2 linked regions of the Lytechinus pictus genome follow. The protein of the gene in region 1 purifies or fractionates together with the protein of each later gene. This does not show direct contact. Links are inferred from orthologs where the notes say so. Each region holds a gene or a part of one and is shown on either strand. Other genes may lie near its edges.

The links. The genes of interacting proteins can lie anywhere in the genome.
Region 2: the proteins of centrosomal protein 43-like (region 1) and centrosome-associated protein 350-like purify together in Homo sapiens (affinity purification with mass spectrometry; 6 studies listed by BioGRID and IntAct, counting the BioPlex papers as one, with this or other methods). This does not show direct contact. The link is inferred for Lytechinus pictus from reciprocal best matches to the Homo sapiens genes CEP43 and CEP350.

What each region holds. Positions count from the first base shown.
Region 1 is NC_087254.1:18,222,623-18,230,537, reverse strand, and holds the start of centrosomal protein 43-like, read right to left. Parts: upstream 3,293-7,915; 5' UTR 3,190-3,292; coding exon 3,109-3,189; intron 1-3,108. UniProt on the Homo sapiens protein: Required for anchoring microtubules to the centrosomes. Required for ciliation.
Region 2 is NC_087259.1:22,876,469-22,884,229, reverse strand, and holds the start of centrosome-associated protein 350-like, read left to right. Parts: upstream 1-4,396; 5' UTR 4,397-4,499; exon of another isoform or gene 4,500-4,539; intron 4,540-7,761. UniProt on the Homo sapiens protein: Plays an essential role in centriole growth by stabilizing a procentriolar seed composed of at least, SASS6 and CPAP. Required for anchoring microtubules to the centrosomes and for the integrity of the microtubule network.

The DNA of each region.
Region 1 (7,915 bases):
AATGAGGGAGTTGTACGTGTGTGACATCACAGATCTTGGTCGCATTGCCAATGGGAGGATCTACATGGCATTAGTGATCTCAATATTCAAATGCTCATAACTTTCTTATTATTCGTTCAATCTTCCTCAAACTTTCAACAATATGTTTCTTTGATTTTTCTCTTTGATATGGATTCAGCTGGTTTCAAGGGTTTCATTCTCCTTGAAGTTGGTCCTTAAGTTAAAGTCAAATTGGTAAAAAATTCAATATTGTATGATTCAAACAATTAAAAAAATAGTGAATGATGGACTTCTCGACTCTCTCATTTGCATGTGATGTCACTGAGTTGTGAATAGAATTAAAACTGTTTTTTGAAAAATAAACGAAATGTCATACCTTTCTTATTTTATATCCAATTTCGATGCGAAAGATCCCATTCTATATAGTCATGAATTGAGTAGGTATGTGACAAAAAAATGAAAATCATCAAATATCAATAAATTTGGTAACATTTGAAAGCTCTTGAAAAGATCTTTCATATAATACCAAGAACTCTAATTTTCATCAAGAACTTATAAAGTTATTCCAGTTTGAGTCGCGCATATTCATCCAAATTTGTGGTCATTGTCTTAATGTAAAGTCAATGTAATACAGAACCGATTTTTGTGACCATTTTGTGAACATTTTGAACCCAAGTCTTCAACAGGCTCTAACTGCTTTGTTTTTTAGCCCTTTGAAGTAATTTAGGTATCAATGGAAAGGTGAAAGAAAGCTCAACTGATGTGTAATCATTTCACTTTGTAATTTTTCTTCTTAATATGTGTAAAATAATTTATTCTAATTAAAGGAATGAAACCCTTGAAACCAGCTGAATCCATATCAAAGAGAAAAATCAAAGAAACATATTGTTGAAAGTTTGAGGAAGATTGAATGAATAATAAGAAAGTTATGAGCATTTGAATATTGAGATCACTAATGCCATGTAGATCCTCCCATTGGCAATGCGACCAAGATCTGTGATGTCACACACGTACAACTCCCTCATTACTTTAGTACTTATTTCACTTATATTCTCACTTTTATAGAGTCTATCACAAAGTGAGGTGTTCTCTTTATGAGAGGAAAAGTACAGAGGTTTCACAACATTATATAATTGATGAATCGTTTGTCATATGATAAGAATGAGCAAAAAGAGATGTTTTGGGGTATATTTTCAGTGTCCAAAAGGGGAGAGTTGTTCATCTGTGACATCGTAGATCTTGGTCGCATTGCCAATCGGAGGATCTCCATAGCATTAGTGATCTCGACATTCAAATGCTCATAACTCTTCTATTGCTAGTCCTATTTTACTCAAGCTTTTGTTGATCTTATTCTTTGATTTTTCTGCTTTCACAAAAGCTAACTTGCTTCAAGAGTTTCATTCTCCTTTAATTCTAATTAATTATGCAAATTACGCAAAATCACAAATACTCGCCTCTTTTTTTGCCAAATGAAGGTGATCATGAATGATAGATAATTTATATAATTTAGTTGGCATCAAAACAGCATCATGTAGATAATTTCCTAAATGAATTTGTTTAAAATATTGTTTTTGTAAAGAAATTTTCTGATTTAAATTACAAGCTCTTTTTCAACTTTAGTATTGTATACATAAATGTATGTACGGAGGTCTTTTTTTACATATGAAAATTATCATTCCTTTTGTACTTTGTATGACCAAATGAAAATACAAGTGTGCTATTTTCTGATGTATTTGATTGTTTCACCGATTCCTTATGTATTCTTTTGTTTCAACAATTTGTTATACATGTATAATATGTAGCTTTTGATGTTAGAGACAATGGACATTTGATTACAATTATTTTAGGAGGGATGAGCAGCTGAGTGTATGTGTACGTAGCATTGTATGCAATTTATTACAAATATCAAGAACGATAAAAATAAAGCTTTAATATATTCTATCGGTTTTCAATGCATTTCTTAGATTTGTATACTGTACATACATTGTATTACAAAGGCCCTGTTTGAGCTATCTTTTTTTAAGAAAAATAAATAAATTCAGATTCTAGAGTGAAATCACTGCACATAAATGTACACAATTTTTTACACAACTTCCATACTATTATGAAACAAAACAAGAAAATTAGCAAGATTTTGTGGAAAAGAACTTAACAATCCAAATTTACCAATCTCCCCATGGACATGATAGATAGACTTGAAAGGCACAAAAGTATTAGTTGAAGCCAAAAGAAAAGGAAAAGAGTGGTCTATTTCTTTCAAAACAAAACAAAAAACAACCAGGAAAAAACAGATATCAAAGCTCTAAAAGATGAATAATTTTTAGATAAAAATTATTATTTCACAAATACTAAAATTTATTACGTCATACGTGATTAGGCCTATAAATAATTAGGGCCTATTAGTATTTTTATACTAATTATTTATAATTACGTGATAAATTTTAACATTTGCGAAGTAATATTTTTTTCTATAAATTATTCATCAGAACGGCATCGCTAGCCGGAAGTACGTCATACGTAAGCGGTTCAAGGGTCGACGCTATTGAAGTTTGCGTTGTTTACATGTGGATCGAGGGGTCTACTCGGTATCAGTTAGGTAAGAAACCTTAATTTTTTCACATTTTTATATTATAATTTTTAAAACCTTCCTACGCATTAGGCGTAGGAAGGTGTAAAAATCAATGAAATTCATAAAATTCAAGTTATTTTTGTTTCAAAAGATGGATTTCCGAGGGAAATCCATCTTATGATCTTTGTTTTGGCCCTTCTCTTCTCACTTCTGCGACTAAGGGAAGAGTGTCAAAACGAAAGTCAAAAAGAAGTATATTTCATTATTTTAAAAGTCATCATCATTGCGTCCTCAAGACTAGAGAGAGTATCAGAGCGAGGAGCGAGGAGCCTACGCCACGGTACACGAACGTCACGGGTAGCGAAGGTGAAGCTTCGCGGGCCCTGCATGCCGCGCCGCAGCCGACTTCCCTGACCCTGGCTCGCTCGGCCCGGCCCTGCAGTGGCATGGCCCGAGGCCGAGCGCGAGACGAGTACCAGTACGTACCGCCACAGGCACAGCTCACAGGGAGTGGCACAGGCCAGGCAAACGAAACTTACCCGAATCTTCCCAAGGACCCCATTATTCTCCAATGTTTGAGCAATGAGGTCTCTTAATTCTGTGTCTTCGTCAGCAGACATGATGGCACTTTGGTAGGGTAAATTGTTCCAAATCGAGTACAAGTCCAAATGAATGTAAGAGCCAAAAAAATAATTGAAGTTATCTTGCAGAGATAGTAGTCGGCAAGGCTAAGTATGGTGTCTACAAAGGGGATTCAGGGGGGAAAAACTATGACTCTCTATGGCGAAAATACTGTAGTCCATTTGACTGGTTGCCAAATAAAAAAAGACCCCCCCCCCCCCGCCTCATACAGTTCAATACAATACAATTCAATTCACAATAATGTGTAAAACGTTGTACGGTCAGTAATTAATTCATGTTTACAAACGGATGACCCAAAAATAAGGTTGTAATTATAGCCGCTATATAAATATACTTTTGTGATGTAATTTGCTACTGCATGTCTGTGAATCTTGAATAGACCATCAGGTTAAGAATAATTCTTAGGAATGACTATTGACTCTAACCAAAATAAGACCCTCACTTAAAGGGAAGTAGGGCCTACACCCTGACGAAAAGTTTGTTGTAAAACTACCCGGATAAAATTTGGTAAAGAAGCCTTGAGAAAAATCATATAGATTAAGAAATTTAATAAAATTTGAAATTTTTTATTTGACGTCATGTACGAGCAGCTGCCCTAAGTGTAATGCAATCTAAAATGCATTAATTCAATTTTGAATGGTTCATGATGACTATAATATATTTTTTGTCATTCAGGAGCAGATGCAAATAATAATAATAATAATATTCCGCATTTATATAGCGCTTAATACATCGGAACGACGTCTCTAAGCGCTTTACAGACATATTATTACAGGCAAATGATTTGCCTGTTGACATACAGGTTCAATAAAATCATTTAAGTGTATTGCGCTTTTGTAACCGGAATGAAAAGGCGATAACTTATACATCAAATGATTATTGCATTGGAAAATGAAATTTCATTGATTTTTTCTTTGTTTTTTTTTCATTCACGATAAGCTATATAACTCGCATTATGACGTCACATAAAAAAAATAAATTCTGATAACTTTCTAAATCTTTAATCGGTATCATCATCAACAATTAACTTTTTTTTTTTTTTATGTTATCAACAATTAACTTCATATCTACGTACAACAACATCATTTTTTATTCCCGCTTTTATTACAGCAAGGATGGGTTCCATCGTCTCGCTTTTGTTGAAAAAAAAAACCCAGTAATTATCATAAAATTATCATGTGAGGTTTTCTCCTTGAATGACAGGACCGGGACAGGACAACTTCAAATCGCGATTTGAATTCCCCATTTTTTCCGTCATTAGCAAAGTACGCTAAAATAGGACAGGCTATAATGGTCAGTGGTCACTGGGCCGATTGGGGCAGAGTGTACGCCCCGTGTACGCCCGATGATTTGTTTCCTTTCAGTTTTTGCTTTTATTTAAACCCCGGTGGGATGAGTGTTTCCGAGAATCATTTGATGATTTTTTTATATAAATAATTGTGAAAGCATTTACAGGTATAACAGTGAAAAGGGCTTCTCGAACTGATAATATCTGGGCTGTTTTTTTTTTTTTTTTGGGGGGGGGGTGTCTGATTTGCCAGTGATCTGATCCCCAGGAGTAATTAAAAAAGACGGTCTTTGACCTCAACTGTCAAAAATTCGACACTCGCCTGCCAAGAACAAAAATTGCCTTTTGTGTACTCCTCCCGGACTCCTCCCCCTTCCTTTAATGGGCTATCCCACATATTTGGAAATTTCAGGGAAAATTGTATTAATTGTCCTCTAGCTTTTTCGTTCCTATCATGAAAAGTAAAATATAATAGCCTTTTGAGACATTATTTATGGCATTGGCGTAGCCAGGAGATATCAGTAGGCGGGGCGGGAACATGGCGAGCGAACTTAAAATTTTGTGCATTTCCCTTATACTCAATTATATTTTTTTCGGTATAAAGTGATGAATACATTCGTTTTATATTTTTTTCGGTATTTTTAGTTTTTTCGGTATAAAGTTTGAATACATTCTTTTTTTACTCTCTCTCTCTTTCCTTTTCTCCTTTGCTTTTTTCTTTTCCTTTTTCTTTCTAACTTTCTCTCATTTTTCTTTCGTCCTTATTCCTTCTTCCTTCCATCTTCTTCCATTCCTCCCTTTCCCTTCATTTTTTCTTTCTTTCTTTCTGTCAGTCTGTCTGTCTGTATGTCTTTCTTTCTTTCTTTATTTATTTATTTCTTTCTTTCCCTTCCTTGCTTTTCCCTTCAGTCGGTAGAGCGGGGCGGGTTTCGGATTCCGATGACCCGGGTTCGATTCCCAATTGGTGAGCTCTTGCCAAAGTTTGGTAAGGCATTAATCCATAGACGGATCCAGGGGGCCGATCGAGGGGCACGCCCGCCACTTTTGAAATGGCTGCCAAATAAAAAATATATCACTTTTGGGGGAAAGACTCATATGGAAAGCCAATAAAGTCAACTTTCAAATGACACCAAAAGTTGGAAAACTACTCATGCTTGAGCGAGCACTGCCCACTGAAATAAAGGGTAAGAAAATTCTGTGCCGGAATTAGCCTTCCAATTTCTTTCCGTTTTTTTTTTGGGGGGGGAGGGGGGAACTTTTGAGGGTTTGAGGGTTTTATGATGAATTAATGATCAATTGTGATCAGTTTGTTATCACATTGAAATTTAATGAATGAGTGATCATGAATTGCAATTTTAGTGCAGCATTTGACTTTATCATGTGGATCTCAGCAATGTGTCCATGAGAGTCAGGAGAATAGGGGGTAAGATAGAACTTAAGTAGGTGAAGTACGTTGATGGGATAAAGGTCAACAGAACATTTAGCAACCCCTCCCTCCATCTCTAACCCCCCCCCCCCTTCTCTCCTAGCTCCTGAGAGACTATAAGCTTGGCTATATAGGCTGGGCGGGAATTGGCTGCCTTACAATTATTTTGAGAGCTTAGTCCTTCGGAACTTGCAAAGCTAGGGGTGTTATGTTAAATTGATTATGTACTCCCCTCCACCTCGATCCATTTCCCCGGTTTCTTCTCCCCCCCCCTCTCTCTCTCTTCTCTCTCTCCCTCTCCACCTCTCTATTTCTCTCTCACTTCCTGGATTGTAGCCCGATTCAGAACTTAACTGCCAAGTGACCGGTGGCTGATGGTCAGTTTTTTTTCTCTTTTTATTGAATGGTTACCAAAATTGACTGATTATGATGATTTATGAAAAAAAAATATTGAAAAAAATGAATGTTTGATTGATCACATTGAATGAGTTGATTCATGATAAATTGTTGATTAAATGATCGATTGATAGGAAAAAGTTGATGCCTCAATTCAGAATTCATCATTAACATGATTAAATCAACATTCTGCTCTGGACTTCACGCGTACATGACAATAGCAATCAGTCTCTCAACAGGAGGGGAGGGCGGGAGAGAGGGAGGGGAGGCTAAATTTTCTGTAACGTTGACCCTTATTCAATCAACCTACTTCACCCCCTATATTCCCCCGACTCCCATTAACACATTGCTGAGATCCACATGATAAAGTTGAAAGGCTGCCCCCAAAAAGTGCAATTTGTGCTCACTCATGCATTAAAGTTCAATTTAATAATTTATGAAATTTGCTTAAACAACCAAAACTGGCCACGGTTGATCATTAAGTTCCGAAGGATTTGTCTCTCAAAGAAACTGACATAAATTGGAAGGCTATAATTCCGGCCCAGCCTAATTTTGATACCGTTTGTTTCAGTGCAGGGCTACCCCCTTCAAAGAAACAAACAAATCAACTTTGAGCGTGGCCGATCGGGGAAAATATGAGTGAATATTTTTTTCCGCCCCCCCCCCCCCACTGGCGAAAGCTGGATCCGCCCCTGTTAATCTTCATTATTACCATGTCCCTCGGAGAGGACCTTAAGCAGTCGGTCCTCTGGTTCTTACTTACAAGCATTCCTGCTTTCTTAGCCGCTACAGGTAAACATTTTCTTTAAACCTTCACCATTATTTACTCTTGATGTTTTCTGCTGCTTTTGAAAAGAAAATAATCTTCTAATACCTTTTTAATATCTTTGATGGATTTTCTCAGACCTTCACCATTGCGTTTTGTTTTTATTCTGCCATTTTTAAAAGTCAGGGTGAATATTTCCCATCTAAACAAATATGGAAAATATTTATCCTCATGAAGCAGGCCGATATATGATCGAGTCGTATAAATGCAAATATTCCGGACAAAATCTATTCTCTTCAAACATTTTCCAGGATCAACTTTTAAAGCTCGATCCCCATTAAGGAATAATTCCGCTTAATTCTTGTGAAAATCAGGGGAAAATCATTTCAATCACAATTCGATATTCCAAACTTCCGATCTGTAAAAAAAAAAATTTAAGCACCAAAATCTATTTCTAACGATACGAAAAGGGAAGGCGAGGAGAATAGCAAGAAAAAAAGTAGGCGACTGAAATACTCATTAAAACAAGGGAGAGGATCGTGAAAGGAAAACTATCAGGTCACAACTAGAAAGAAAGCCTGAAGAAAGGAAGAAAGAAAGGAAGGAAGGAAGGGAGGAAGGAAGAAAGAATTCAAAGAAGAAAGAAAAAAAGATCGAGAAAGAAAACTTTCAGGTCACAACTAGAAAGAAAGTCCGAAGAAAGCCTGAAGAAATAAAGAAAGAAAGAAACTAAGGAAGGAAGGAAGGGAGGGAGGGAGGAAGGAAGGAAGGAAGGAAGGAAGGAAGGAAGGAAGGAAGGAAGGAAGGAAGGAAGGAAGGAAGGAAGGA
Region 2 (7,761 bases), on another chromosome or scaffold:
TACAGGTATATCTTTTTTTTATCAAGATTATAGGAAGATGGAAAGTAATACAAAAAATAGATGATGAATTGGGGAGAATTGATCCGACAACTATTTTTAACACTCTCAATTAACTCTGCTATCTACATGTATGTCCCTCAGAGGCTAAGTTAATGGGGGCGAGCCAAGTGATTTTTTTTTCCTGATTTCCTCATGGGATTGGAGTACAAGATCCAGGCCTTGTTAACTCACAGAACACAAAGAGTTGTCGTGCAAGGAACAAAGTCAGACTGAGTGAGGTATGAAGTTCTGTAGTCCAAGGTGCGGTCCTAGGTACTGATGGTCCGAAACAGAATTAGTCATTTTGGGATGGGCTTAGGAAGGGCGAATAGCCCCCCTCACCCCGATTGCCGCATTAAATTCCACTTTGGTACACTACCAAGAAGGAATGTATAGCTCTCAGTAAGTTCATTCCTCATAGTCATAACCAAGGACAATCTGAATAAAAAATGATTCGTCTTGGTTTATGATATATTATAGGATCTCCTAGTTTACTCAGACCATCCTCATAATTTAAAAATCATCCAAACGAAATGAGGATTGTCCCTGACTCCATTTACAATTACACTTAACACTGGGATTGAGTTTGACTTCTTTTTATCCACGTGCAAGAAATCAAGAATCATGGAATGTTCGTTGACCCATCCAATGCGGACATGTGGTTGAAACCAATTGAGTGTGCTTGTCAGGGTCTAACAGTTGTTACTACATGTATTAGTTAGACTCTAACTTAAGTTTAGGCCTAACTTATTATCTAGATGTATATTTCTCTCAAACTATGAGGAGATTTTTGCTCAGGGGGGGGTTAGGCCACTTACATTGACGAGTGGATACCATGCGCTACCCCAAAAACACATAAGGGTCCCGTTTCAGGCACTCAGGCGTCAACAACGTCTTTGGCAAAAAGGGTTGCATTTCAGCACCATTCGCTGGTAAATCACCTTTTACGGTAGCCTTTTCTCTCTCTCTTCATGCCATTAAGGGTTGCTAATTTGGTTATGAAGATGACGCCATTGAGGGGTGCAAATATGAATAGATCTACGCCATTTAGGGTTGCAAATTTGAGAAGATTAGGGAGCAGACCTAAGCCACACCATGAAGGGCGTGATTTTAAGGGATACAAAATAATCCTCACACACGCCGGCCAGCGCATCACTTAAATGAGAGAATACCCCCGTACAGTAAAGTCTCTAGTCTTACGCCCGGCTCTATACTATAGGCAGCATGCCAATAGGGTTTAGGCCTTTAGTCTATACCATTTTGTTTGATTCATACCAGGGATGGGGGGATTCCTATGATTTTTTTTTAATTATCAATTAAAACAATAAAAGAAGATATATAGAGGTTTAATTAAAGTATGTCTTTTTCAACACATTAACTGGTATGGAATATGGATTCCATTTTTTCAAGTTGTGATGAAATTGGTAAAATGAATGGTAAGTGATGCATCAGTCAGTAAATGCAAGCAACATTTTTCACTTGCATTCAATAATTTAGGATAAAAGATGGCTATTTAAAGTGGCTAACTGAAGAGAGCTGTCATTGAGAGTAAATTATGCTGGACTTTATATACTTGCAATAATTATTTTAAAAATGCCGGGAATTTATACCTGTGGTATGTAACATCAATTTTACATCAGTAATCCGTATGGTATCAAATTAATCGATTTCTATGTTATGACGCCACTTAGGGTATCGAATTACGGGCTTTTCCCTGTTTACGCCACTGAGGGTATCGAATTACGGGCTTTTCACTGTTAACGCCACTTAGGGTGGCTTTTCTCATGGGTTACGACATTTAGGGTTGCAGATTTATTTAATGAAGTTACGCCGTTTAGGGTGCATTTCTGAGGTTGTCGAACACGGGTGAGTAGCAGTCCATGTGGAGAGTGCCCCCCGGGGATGTCTTTTTCAAGATAGGGCACATTACGTAATCATGGTAACAAGGGTGTCAAAACTCAAAACACTGAAATAATGAATATTTAGCTAGGAAATCTACGTGTTTAGGGTCAAATTTGTGAGGGTAAAATTAAAGACTAAAAAAAAGGATGTACTTTTCGTGCTTTTTGCCCCAACACTAGTAACAGTCAACACTATGGCACACTTCTAAAATAAGAAAATAATAGGGATTAGGGGGCCTACTACATGACTAAGCTAAGGAACATTAACGTGTTGACTGTTAGTCAAGTTCATTAATGTCATGGCCCCCCTTGGCCTTGTTTGTTGCAACAGAACAGGTGCAATTGATTGCAAGTGTAGCAAAAAAAGTAACCACATCATGCCTTTCAAACTTAAAGTTTCATGGAGCTGTGTCACTCAGTCTCACTCTCATGACATGAGCCTCAACTCAAGTTCGGACCAGAACAGGGCTAGGGGCCAGGCCCGGTCTTTCCCGTGTAGATCTATCCTCCCTGGGCCTGGGCTAGCTAAGCTAGGCTGAACTGATCTGATCTCACTTAGCCTGGAGGCGTCTGGGGAGTGAAAGTAATATACTGTACGTATGGTCACTCCCCTAACGCCTGGCATTGTGATGTATAGAGTTCTACGTACCGAGGGAAAAGGCAACTATAAAAATGCGCCAAACTGCTAGTTATGTTTAGAATCTGAGGTCACGACTGCTGTACATGGGTAACAATATTGGTTGGCAACGTTTGGCAAAAAATGCGTAATAATGGTTACAAAATGACGAATAAATTATATGAAGTAATAAAAGTAGAAGAGAGTTTACTTACACTTGTTGACATGGCCATCTTTGATCCTTTGTAATTGCAACCTAGTTACTAACCCAGAGAGCTCCCGCCCGCACAGCGGGCGGGAGCCCAGAAGCTTACCGTGTATTTTACCATTGTCACCGGACTAGGGTGATTTATGGTCTAAATATTTCTCCAAATGAATTGTGAAAACGGAAAGTATACAATTACCACGATTATATGGATGAAGGTCTAACGAGTGGCAGATTCCTGACATCTGGGCACAGTCTGGAACCTCAAAAAAACGAAAAGTTCTCTCCTTCTACCCAGTCTCGATCGGCCATTTTGTTACGATTTTTAACAAAAATGGCCGATCGAGACGGGGTAGAAGGAGAGAACTTTTCGTTTTTTTGAGGTTCCAGACTGTGCCCAGATGTCAGGAATCTGCCACTCGTTAGACCTTCATCCATATAATCGTGGTAATTGTATACTTTCTGTTTTCACAATTCATTTGGAGAAATATTTAGACCATAAATCACCCTAGTCCGGTGACAATGGTAAAATACACGGTAAGCTTCTGGGCTCCCGCCCGCTGTGCGGGCGGGAGCTCTCTGGGTTACCTAGTTACGTGACGCGTATAGAGGGCGGCAAAATCATGAGCGGTGCTAGATTAAAAAGTGCTAAAATGTCCCGCTTCAACCACTGAACTAGAAATACGTGGAAGTCGTGTACACCCAAGCAAAACATCGCCGGCGAACTCGATAAGTCACGTGACCGCCGCCATTTTGATAGGTCAATTGTTCGAGAACGCGCCGTAGAAGGCAAGATGCAATATGTTTTCTCTATGTATTTCTAGTTCAGTGGTTGAAGCGGGACATTATAGCACTTTTTAATCTTGCACCGCTCATGATTTTGCCGCCCTCTATACGCGTCATGTAACTAGGTTGCAATTACAAAGGATCAAAGATGGCCACGTCAACAAGTGTAAGTAAACCCTCTTCTACTTTTATTACTTCATATAATTTATTCGTCATTTTGTAACCATTACTACGCATTTTTTGCCAAACGTTGCCAACCAATATTGTTACCCATGTACAGCAGTCGTGACCTCAGATTCTAAACATAACTAGCAGTTTGGCGCATTTTTATAGTTGCCTTTTCCCTCGGTACGTAGGACTCTATAGACTATACATCACAATGCCAGGCGTTAGGGGAGTGACCATACGTACAGTATATTACTTTCACTCCCCAGACGCCTCCAGGCTAATCTCACTTTCAGCTCAGCTTCGGCCTCCCCCAGCCCCAATCCCAAGCAGCTGCCCCAAATTCCGATGTCAACGACTGAACTAAGTTAGACACCGAGATCATGGCCTGTTTGGGCCGCGGGATCGGGCTGGATAAGGTACGGTCCCGTACCGTACCTACCGGTTCCTAATTCCTGGCTGTAGCTGTAGAGAGAGAGTCGGTTGTTTTCGCCAGACCAGCAGTCTCATCATCATCATCATCAGAACATCGCTATACTATGTCTATAGCTTGCTGCTCAGCTCAGGCTCAGCTAGCTATCTCAGCTCAGCTAGCTCAGCTCAGTCAATGTTGACAAAATCCCCGTTGCGCGTCATCGGCAGACAACTCCGCCCACCTTGTTCGCTGAGAAACACAGTTTTATCATTGTATTAGTATCATCTATCGTAACACCATCCTAGAGAATCAGCAAAAAGGATATATCCCACAATGCACCATTTGCCTCTCTAATATCAAGATGGCGTTTAGGTGAGTATTTCCGTGTAGATGTGAATACGTACATTTGAATGTGAGATTTAGTTGTCGTTTAAACACATTTAATCTGTTTTTTGATAAATTTCTGTCAATTTCAATATTCTAGACAATGTTGATTACTAATTTAACAGATAAATTTCATGTTTGATTTAGAATTTTTGTATTCAAATGGACCGTGTTGTGTTGTTTTGAAACTGACTGTGGACGTCTGTGCAGTGTCGGTGTCGTGTGTGGGCCTATTTTTATTGGCAATTGCAAATGACTCACTCGCACTCGGCAGCTCGCCGTCTTGGCCGTTATTTTTCGGACGCCTCAGGCTCAGCTCAGGCGGGCACAGCCGGCTAGCCAGTAGCCACAGACACAGCTTGGACACAGTCACAGGCGCACTACAGAGTACAGTATAGTTTAGAGTAACCCAGAGAGCTCCAGCCCGCGTAGCGGGCTGGAGCCCAGACGCGCAGTGTACAAACGGGCATTCAGGTGAGAGTACCGTGAAGTTTGGTCAATATCATTTACATAATACATAATTTAAACAGAAATTAAGCACTTACCACGATTGTATGGATGATAGTCTAACGAGTGGCAGTTTCCTGACATCGAGGCACAGACTGGAACCTCAAAAAACGATCAGTTCTGTCGCGGTGGCTCTCCTTCTTTCAAAATTCATAGCAAAATGGCCGTTCGAGAGGGTGTAGGGCGCATGCGCGAATTTGACAAAGTCTATATGCGCTAGTGCTATACTAGCCTCGGTCTCGATCGGCCATTTTGTGTTGAATTCTGAAAGAGGAGAGCTACCGCGACAGAACTGATCGTTTTTTGAGGTTCCAGTCTGTGCCTCGATGTCAGGAAACTGCCACTCGTTAGACTATCATCCATACAATCGTGGTAAGTGCTTAATTTCTGTTTAAATTATGTATTATGTAAATGATATTGACCAAACTTCACGGTACTCTCACCTGAATGCCCGTTTGTACACTGCGCGTCTGGGCTCCAGCCCGCTACGCGGGCTGGAGCTCTCTGGGTTAAGTTTAGAGCTATATTTTGTGCAATATTTTTTGTTCTAAAAATAAAATCCTGTGTCGATTGTCAGCAAAAAATGGAAATTTGCACTGACAAGTGCCAGGCAGAATTTGACATGTTCATCTTTTTTGCAATATTTTTTTTTGTTCTAAAATGAAATTTGCATCAATTTTTGTTGAATATAGATCTAGGCCTATCCTATTTTTTTCTCCTATCATGCCTATCTCAATGCCTCATAGAATTTGGAAATGTATCACCATGTTTTGTGCCCACGGCCACGCGCTATCCACAGCCCCTGCCCTCCACGGAGCTCCGTTTTTACATAGCGCATCACGCGTTTTAAAGTCAATGCGTGCCAGTGATGCTAAATTGTGGCTGGATCTGGATTAGACAGGAATAACCGTCGTTTCTGGGATTTCTTTAACAATTTCTGACATATCACTATAATCCCCATTCACCGACGGTAGTTAGTCTTAGTGTGAGCTCGCATGTGTTATCACTTCCTCTAATTCGCCGATTAACTGTCCAGACTTCAATATTCTTTTTTACATCGAATTTACAGTCTAAGGATTTAGAAACTACCAAAATACAATGTACTATCTTGAATATATAACAAATAACTTAATGTGCACGAAATAGAACAAAGGTATGAAAATGGTACTTTACCGATGTTTACTTGTCTTGGTCCCGTCGTGGTCTCGAGAATCACCCCCAAAATGGCAGCCAAAATATGAAATATTACCAACGAACGGAGAGGGCGTCAACAATTTACGAATATGATATCGATATTGCTTTCGATATTATACGATCTGCTCCATATGCGAGCTAAACCGCTACAATCACAGGTAGCAGACGACATTCGATAAATCGAGACATCGAAAAGTTAATAAGGAAAATGACGACATTCAAGATGGCAACTTGCAAGAAAAACCGTCAGCTTAGGTGAAAATGTCTTAGATGAAAGATTTCTCAATCATCCAGAGGATTTTTTTTTCAATAACTCCGGTCCAAGGTACGCAATTACTAAAGTTATTTATATTTCCCTGATAATGGAAACCATGAAACTGTAAATTTCGCTTAAAAACAGTTTTAAATCGCGACCTATAAAACGTTAGTTCACTTATACGTTGGCTGTACGTACGGGCCTCCAAGCTCTTCAGTCTATGTATTGGTGAGTGGAGCCAACGTAGTTTAGCGGAACAACCAAAATACAGAGACTGAACTTTTGGTCTAGATCTGGATGACCTCACATAGTATGTAGGGACAGTGATTTTCCGCGATCGCGGAAAACGGACGGAATTCACGGAAAGGGTCTTTTGAAACGGAAAATGGCATTTCAAACGGAAAATCACGGAAAACGTATTTTCCCTCAAAATACACAGAATAGCAACAGAAATTACTCCAAAATCACAACAAAATGAGAATATTAAATGGCCAAAAAAACCCAGAAAACACGATCTCACTTCGCTACTATCATGACAATTCACACATCGTGACTGCACTCGACATCAGCACACTCGATTGTACCCGTACCCCGCACCGTACCCGTACCCGTACCCGGCCGGCCGGGTTGGGCTTCACATGCACACATGTATCGTTCAACTACATGTACACAGTTGTGTGTTGCTGCCCTCTACGTTTGAAGATGTAACAGCACGATATCGTGGTCTTAAAATCCAAGATGGCGGATTGGGAAAAGACGTTGACTGATGATAACGATGTCCAAAAACCCCCAAAATTATCGATGAAATATCATTTCACCGTGAAATAATGCTAATAATATGAAAGGTGAGGATGTATGCATGCAAAATGGGTGTGTTAAAATATTTTATTCACCCGCATAGATCCGATTAGAACGGATTTTATTGTGTTGTTGGTACAGTAGCAGATACAAATTTTGACCAGTGCGAGTGTGCATGTAAATGTGTAAACGGAATTGTCACTTTTCCGTGTGTACAAAGTCTATGGGGAAACGGAATTTCCGTTTTCTGACATGCTGAAACGGAATTTGAGATTTTCTGAAACGGAAAAGGCAATTTTTTGAAACGGAAAATCACTGTCCCTAAGTATGGTTTCAAGGTTTCAAGCTACACTGACTGCCTCCTTCAATCCTGAAGATTCTTCTTCATCTTCTTCATCCTACACTGACTGCCTCCTTCAATCCTGAAGATTCTTGCAGTATTGTAGTACCGCGGACCGGCAGGTGCAATACACCGGGTGAACACCCTACTCTTTG